2 linked regions of the Rattus norvegicus genome follow. The protein of the gene in region 1 purifies or fractionates together with the protein of each later gene. This does not show direct contact. Links are inferred from orthologs where the notes say so. Each region holds a gene or a part of one and is shown on either strand. Other genes may lie near its edges. The genes, in order: Zzz3 and Kat14.

Region 1 (3,813 bases):
TTCCAGCAAGAAAGGATAGTTGAGAAGCTGTGCTTACTGAGATGGATACAGCCCCAGTACACCTTCCTGGCTTTTGTGCTGCTTTGTCATGGAGGTGACTGGAAGAGCCTCTATACGGGTGTCTCCTCTAATCTCACTCTGTGCCCGTGGCATCTTACGTTCCTAAGTGGACTGTTTTCTACCTGAGAATCTCTACTAATGTGATATGACGTCCAGATTGGAAAGCACCTGCTGTGCTCTGAGTGAACCGTGAATGTATCTAGTCAGAACTCCAGGATCTTAAATGGAATCCTTTATTCCCTTAAAATTTGGTTTTGGGTTTGGTACAGAAAAAACTTGAACAGCTACTCCTGAAGTACCCTCCTGAAGAAGTAGAATCTCGGCGGTGGCAGAAGATTGCTGATGAACTGGGCAACCGGACAGCCAAACAGGTGATGGGGATTGCTGCAGACTGAGTGGCAGATGGTTTCCGGTGGGCAGTTCTGCAGCCACACCAGCACAACTGATAACCATTGCTAGCTTTGGTGTACGGTAGTTTTAAATTGATTAGTACTGCTATTTTTGATAAGAAAGCAGAAAGTTGATAGCAGAAATAGCATAAATAACACTTCTTTGTGTCAATGTAAAACATTTAATATATGTATGTGTATGTATACATATGTATGTACCTTTGTGTGTGTGTGTGTGTGTGTGTGTGTGTGTGTGTGTGTGTATGTATGCTCATGCATGCATTGGACCTTGCATCTCCTGAGTGCTTAGTGAATGTGCTGACAGTCCTCTTTGTTAGACTGTGCTGTTGGATTTTGAGGCATCTCATTAATACCATCCCTGATTGTCTTTCTGAGAATGGACACTGTAGTGTCCTTCATCATGCCCGTCTATCTGTGTCACTGACAGAGAGGGCCGCTGTAGTGTCCTTCATCAGCCCGTCTATCTGTGTCACTGACAGAGAGGGCCGCATATGTGCTCCTCAGTGCTCACCAGTGGAATGATTGTTTAGCTTTGGAATCAAAAAAACTTATTACTTGAATTGGTTTTGTCTAGGTTTTTACTTATAAATGTCTTTGATGACAATTTAAAAGTTTACTTCTTGATTTAGTTGTTAGCACTTAAAACTTCTCAAATATCACATTATTTCATTATGTTGAAAGAGCTGTCATGTTTCTTTAGGTTGCCAGTCGTGTACAGAAGTATTTCATAAAGCTAACTAAAGCCGGCATACCAGTTCCAGGCAGAACACCTAACTTATATATATACTCCAGGAAGGTAAGGAGTATAGACAGGAGCAAACCTCAGGGAGGATCTCTGGGTTCGGAACTGCTGTGTGGGTGTGTGTCAATGAAGTGCGCTCCTCTTCATTTTGACATTTCGCTGTGTAGAGTATAAATGCAGACTAAGACTCCATTGTTGCTGCTTAGAAGAATACACTGAGTTTTAAGAGTTCTTCATTGAGGGGTTGGGGATTTGGCTCAGTGGTAGAGCGCTTGCCTAGCGAGTGCTAGGCCCTGGGTTCGGTCCCCAGCTCCAAAAAAAAAAAAAAAAAAAAAAGAGTTCTTCATTGTTTTCTTGGGAGTAATTATGAATGAGTACTACTCCAAGCCTTTTTATACTATGATTCTGTGTTGGGAATGTCTTAGTGATGTTAGCCTTCAAATGTAGGCCTGATTTCTCTGTGCTCTGTTGCGCAGACTGGAAATGTTACTGAGATGTTGAGCCCTCAGTGCAGTTGTAAGTAGTGTTCTCTCCCTGCCACTTCACAGTGAGAATACTGACAGGTGGCTGTTATGTCAGAAGCACACAGTGTTCTCAAACCTTTTTAATAGAAAGGCACAGTAGGCCATAATAACATACGTAAATTGTAAACTACTAAGCTGAGAACCATTGATTTTAGAGACAGAATCTCACTGTGTAGTTGGCCTAGAACTCGCTGTGTGGGTCAGGATTTGTGGTGGTCCTCCTGCCTCTGCTGGGAAGCAAGTACTAGGATTGTGGCTGAGTGCTAGTGTGCTGCTGGTTTCATAACTAGTGCCAGGCAGCCTTTTGCCCCCTCCCCCATTGCTTCAAAGTTCTAGGGAGGAAATGAGGGCCTTTAGCATTCAAGGTAAAGGGTCCACAGGAAGTCACCAACATGATAAGTCCTTATGACATCTCCTTCCTTACACCACTTTCAAATGTTACTCGGTAATGCTAGTTTATAGAATTCTACATTAAGAAGATTGTTTAAATAGTTCACGTCTTAGAATTTTTTTTAAAGATTTATTTTATTGTTTGAATTATGTCTATGTGGGCATGTGTATGTGAGTGGTGGTTCAACAGAGGCCTGTGGCATTGATTTTGGTTTTCTGTTTTGTTTGTTTTTTTTCTCCAGTTTTTCAAGACAGGTTTTTTTCTGTGTGGCTTTCCTGGAACTCATTCTATACACCAGGCTATCCTCACACTCTCTTGTGCAGGGATTAAAGGTGTGGACCACCACTGCCTGGTGTTTTAAGTTTGTGTTTTATGTACCAATGAACTATAGAGACTTTACAGCCTTGGATTACAGGAACCTCGTACACAGGCTCGTGACAGTTCAGCCTGTCAGCTTACACCTGTCATGGTTCTTACTTCATCCTCGTCTTCAGGGCCCCTCCCTCTTCTCCTTTCTCTCTTCCCTCTTTTTTCTGTGCTGTGGTTCGAACCCAGGACTTAATTGATGCTGAGCAAATGTTTGGCTATTGAGCTATATCCTCAACCCCTTAATAATTTTTCTAAATTAATTGTATTAATGTGTTGTTTTACACCTTGCATTATTACAACCAAGAGTTAATAAAGACCAAAAAGGAATAGTACTAGCAAAGTCTAAATTTGGTCCATTGTGTGTGTAGTCTCTTGTAAGTTAGTAGACATTGTGGCTGTTAAGGTCTAGAATACCACACTCATAATGGCTCTGGGCCATGGTGAGATCTGTCCAGTGGTTCTGTTCGTGTCCGTGGTATGTACTGGCATGAGTGGTATCTGCATTAGCCGCTGGTATGAGAGCTGTGCCACCACATAGCTCTAATCCACTTCTACCACTGCCTCACTATGAAGCTCCCCTCCTCCTGCCCATGCTTGTCTGTCTCCCAGTGAACGGTGATGGCTGCTTTGCTTTGGAGGAATGTCACAAGGATGAAGTGATAATGCCATAAAGCACGTGGTCGCTCAGTGCTAGGTGATTGTTTTATAGACTCAGATAGTGTGGAAACCTCTCTCTCTCTCTCTCTCTCTCTCTCTCTCTCTCTCTGAGTAGTTATTTGACTGGCTTCAATCATTTTATCTTCTTTGATTTTCTGTGTAAGTTGATCATAAGAGTCTGTGCAGCCAGCATTGAGTACTGTAACTGGTAGGGTGTGTATGGTTTTGATTCTATTAATGATTTCTCACTCTCTCACTAAAACAATTGTTTTCTCCTGTAGTCCTCAACGAGCAGGCGACAGCACCCCCTTAATAAGCACCTCTTTAAACCCTCCACTTTCATGACTTCACATGAGCCACCAGTGTACATGGATGAAGATGATGAGCGGTCCTGTCCCCATAGCCACATGAGCACTGCTGTCGAGGAGGCCTCAGTAAGTTACTCCCTGTTTTATACAGCTGACTGTACAATAGGAAATAAATGATTTTCTGATTATCCCTGCTGACATGTCCCCTTTAAGAGTTAATATGCTTTTAGTTTTTTTTTTTTGTTTGTTTGTTTGGTTTTTTTTTGAAGATTCAGCATAGGTGTAAGAAGAGTAGCCCAGTGAACCTGTATTCTGTCTCTGAGCTTCTGTAATTGTCACTGGGCAGTATTTG
Region 2 (4,338 bases), on another chromosome or scaffold:
ACACTGTCTTTGTTATGGAGTCAAATCTACTTCCAGTGTGGCCATCTCCTCTGTTATGCTCGAAATGACTGCCAGACGGAGGTGGGCCTAGTTTTCAGTTGAGTGTAAGCTTGGTAGGACATAAATGAAATTGACTAAGAGTCTCGAGAACTCACTAAATTAGCAGCCTTGTTTTAAAACCGCGAAGTCTTCCGTCCACACATTGTGTGCGCATGTCCACTGTGAACTGTAAAGCGCCCTCCCCGCAAACCGCTCTAAAGCGCCTCACTCTGGATGGCCACCCGGCCTGACGTGCCCAGAGAAGAGCTCTGTACTCACTTGCTGCCATGTCAGCTTCAGCCTCTCGGACTGCTCCTTGCCGTCTGCCGAGCAATCGGCACAAGTAAACCTGAAAAAGTTATCGCCCTTAAGGTAACTGAGCTGTTCCCTCAGCTGACCTAGGAGAAAAAACAAAAAGTCACATCACGGATTTGCCTCGTGCCGTGGAGATCCAACAGCTCAGTTAACCGACTAGCTCTCCGAGTTTCCCGTGGTAGATCTTTCTTCTTCTGCAGCCATCAGGAGAGTAGTGGAGGAGAGAAAGAGAAAAAGGTTGTTTCCCCTTCTGCAGCCAGGTGCCTGCCTCTCCCAGACCTAAGGCTCCTTAGCTGTTAGGGGGAAGGTCCTGGAAAAGCAGGTATGGTTGCTCTAGCTGGATCTCCCAGCAGTCACATTCCTGACTCCTCTAGGCCAGTCATCTTCATTCTTTCAGGGAATACTCAGCTGGTGCCGCCAGCCACACCAGGCTCGAACTGGATATGCAATGTCTAAGGCAGATAGGACCCACACAAAGAACACAGGTAAACAGGACTGTACTGGTTGTAGATTTCCGTGGAGCATCGGAACCACCCAGGTGGCTGGGCTTTATGTCCTTCCTAAGGTCAGGTCCACCCCCTTATGGAATGCTCCAGTCTCTGGGGTGGGGGCTGGGCTCTGCATTGAAGCTCCCAGGTGATGCTGATGCATTGTGCAACATGAAAACCTCCAGAGCAGAATGTACCTTGCATCCCAGGGCAGAGTAAGGACAGAGAAAGGGATGCTCAACCCCATTTAGGAAGGAATAGAGGTCTACTGGGCCCAGGGGGAACAGCCACTAGCTAGAAGAAAGGGCTGCCTGAGGGACAGATGTGCAAGGGAGCCACCCAGGTGCATATTCCAGGGAGAAAACAAAAAGGTACAAAATCCTAGGAATCAAAGAGTTGTAAAGAATGAAAAGTCCACCCTATCTCCCTAAAAACCTTAGTAGGGCCCAACCATAAAAGTCCCCTTAAAAATCTGGGGTTGGGGGGTTGGGGATTTAGCTCAGTGGTAGAGCGCTTGCCTAGGAAGCACAAGGCCCTGGGTTCGGTCCCCAGCTCCGAAAAAAAGAAAAAGAAAAAAAAAAAAAAATCTGGGGTTGGGGATTTAGCTCAGTGGTAGAGCGCTTGCCTAGCAAGCACAAGGCCCTGGGTTCGGTTCCAAGCTCCGAAAAAAAAAAAAAAAATCTGTCCGGTGAGGACGATGGGAAAACCAGTTTTTACTAGACAGCTGAGAAACAAACACCAGCTAAACAGTCAATTCTAGGTCTGTTCTCTAACCACTGCTATTATTAACCTATTTACAGTAGCTATTTGAACAATTTAATTCATTTTTAATAAAAGTTTCAACATACCAGAAAATGACCAACTTCATTAAGAGTTACACTAGCTATGAACTCTTGTACAAAGCAACCCTCCAGGGCACATGCCTTTGCTCATCTCTTGCCTAATGGAGAACACTGTTTAAGAGTCGAGAGGGCCTGGCGAGGCATGCTACGTACGGAGCTGGCAGCTGGAACCTCGAGATCTGTGCGCTGTGACTCCTGCCAGGATGAACGAGTTCCACGGTAGAAAACAAACCTGGGCTAAAGGCAGCAACCAAACACCACTGGACTGCTGATCCCAACCTTCCCTCAGGAGACAACAGCAGTACTCCACGAATGTCAAATAACTCACAGAACCTGAATTCTATACTGACACCAGAATGTGTCCCCCAACCCACAGCATAATCTTCTTAGAAAAATATGGCCAATGACTTAATACAGGATTCCTAATTTTTTTTGGGGGGTGGGGGGCTACCATCCAGAATGTTAACAATGGGATAATGGTAGACAGTTCTTATTAATACAAATGTGGTTTTATGGGCCTGGAGAGATGGCTCAGCAAGTAAGAGAACTTAATTTGCTTGCAGAGGATACAGGCTCAATACCTGGTGGCCACAGTGGCTCAGGACCATATGTAACTGCAGTTTCAGGATCTGATGTCTCTTTGACATTTGCAGGCACTGCATGCACATGGTGACATACACTCGGGCACACACACATACATATAAAATGAATGACTGTTTTAAAGAACTAAAAAAGTGGTCTGGAATAAATTTACATTTGGTAAACTAGACTACTAATAATAAATATAATAATTATATTTTTATTCAAGTCTATTTTATTAGTGTTTTTCACAGACTGGAAACAAGCCATCACATAGGGATCAACCAAGCAAAGGAATCGAGAAGCTCCTTACTGGCTGGGATCCACTTTTGGCACTTGTCACAGAAGTAAGACAGCTGCTCCTCCATCCATGATATATCTCCTTCATCGCTGTTGAGGGAATCCCCACTCTGGTCGTGAGATAAGTCCACTGATGCCTGATCCTCTGATTCCACAATTAGGAGAGTCTCTCCCTCCACCTCACCTTCCTCCAGCCCTTCCGAGGTAGACGTTCTCGTGGCTTCATCATCATGCCGACTTAGGAGCCCACTCAGGTGGATGCTACTATCCATCGCCCCTGCACTCCTAAGCTGACAGGCACTGTTGCAGGGATCCCCCAGACAGACCTTCAGAAGAGCATTTGCCCCCAAGTACTCTCTCCACACACGACAGACTCTTAAAAGAAGCAATTCAGAAGACAGGACCACTGTCCTTCAGTTAATGAAGTGTAACTGGATAGTGATTTTGGGGGCAGCTCTCACTAGCTATTCTCTACCACACACCGCACCCACAGTTACACACACCAACTCAGCGCTGCCCCATCGGCTTCTCAAAGTCAGGTATTTTGAGATCCTTTCTCCAACATCTTCTCTCTTTCTGCTTCAAGTTGCTTAGTCAAAATAATCTGTTCTCCCAAAAGACGAATGTTTTCTTTTTTCTGATTCTGCCTCTCAATGTCTCTGATCACTCCGTCACGAAGCCTCTAAAAACACAAGAAGCAGATTTTAGTTACCCCCTGAACAGGTGGCTCCCATCCTGTGCCTTCAAATCTAAATAACAGTGCCACCAAAATACACTCGAAATGTTCCAATTCTAAATACCCAATTACTATTTTAACCTTCTGTACAATGTAAATAAAGAAACCACCAAGTAAATCTGGTAATGTGTTATGTTAATACTTAAGTGGCTTCTCATCACATTTTAAGAAATCCCTGAACACAGAAAATTTAAAGGGAATTGATTTTAAAAAATTAATTTAAAAGGCTGCACTATGCTGAATTTTATAAATTTAATTGGAAAGTGATACTTTTAAAATCTGATGAATCAGTACAGAAAAACTGTAAACTATAAGCAGTTACCTAAGACAAACAATAAATACCAAGAAAAAGAACAGTAAGGGTGTGAGAAAATACAGGACTTTATCATGTAAAGGCAGAAATATAAAATTCTCAATCAATTAGATTAGAAAGAAAGAAAAAGGACTATTACCATTAAATGATAAGTTCCTCAGGGGTCATTACCTTGAAAAACACTAGACGCAGAATCTCGGAATGTGAACCTGGTGCCTAATGTGAATTTAAAAGGTCTGCTCCGTCACTACTGCAAATACTCTATACTTTGTAGCTCAGAGGGGCATATTTGAAACAGACACTTCATAAGAATTTTTTTTTTTCGGAGCTGGGGACCGAACCCAGGGCCTTGTGCTTGCTAGGCAAGCGCTCTACCACTGAGCTAATCCCCAATCCCTCATAAGAATATTTTTGGGTTGGGGATTTAGCTCAGTGGTAGAGCGCTTGCCTATCAAGTGCAAGGCCCTGGGTTCGGTCCCCAGCTCCGAAAAAAAAAGAAAAAAGGAAAAAAAAAAGAATATTTTTATTATTTTTTTTTAAATTTTATTTTATCTGCATGGGTGTTGTGGCTACAAGTTATGCAGGTACAGTGTTGAGGCCAGAAGAGAGTGACCTATACCATGGCACTGCAGCTACAGATAGCTCTGGACTGAAACCCAGTTCCTCTACAAAAGCAACCAGTGCCATCTCTCCAGTTCATTTTTCTTTTCAGAGTCAGCATCTGCA

Evidence for each region.
Region 2: the proteins of Zzz3 (region 1) and Kat14 purify together in Homo sapiens (affinity purification with mass spectrometry; 4 studies listed by BioGRID and IntAct, with this or other methods). This does not show direct contact. The link is inferred for Rattus norvegicus from reciprocal best matches to the Homo sapiens genes ZZZ3 and KAT14.

Annotation. Positions count from the first base shown.
Region 1 is NC_086020.1:244,042,717-244,046,529, forward strand, and holds part of Zzz3 (ZZ-type zinc finger-containing protein 3), read left to right. Parts: intron 1-329; coding exon 330-431; intron 432-1,170; coding exon 1,171-1,266; intron 1,267-3,434; coding exon 3,435-3,587; intron 3,588-3,813.
Region 2 is NC_086021.1:152,193,316-152,197,653, reverse strand, and holds the start of Kat14 (cysteine-rich protein 2-binding protein), read right to left. Parts: upstream 3,095-4,338; 5' UTR 2,836-3,094; coding exon 2,577-2,835; exon of another isoform or gene 2,481-2,576; intron 840-2,480; exon of another isoform or gene 438-839; coding exon 319-437; intron 1-318. Other genes in the region: protein PET117 homolog, mitochondrial, read right to left, coding at 3,099-3,245. UniProt on the Homo sapiens protein: Component of the ATAC complex, a complex with histone acetyltransferase activity on histones H3 and H4. May function as a scaffold for the ATAC complex to promote ATAC complex stability. Has also weak histone acetyltransferase activity toward histone H4.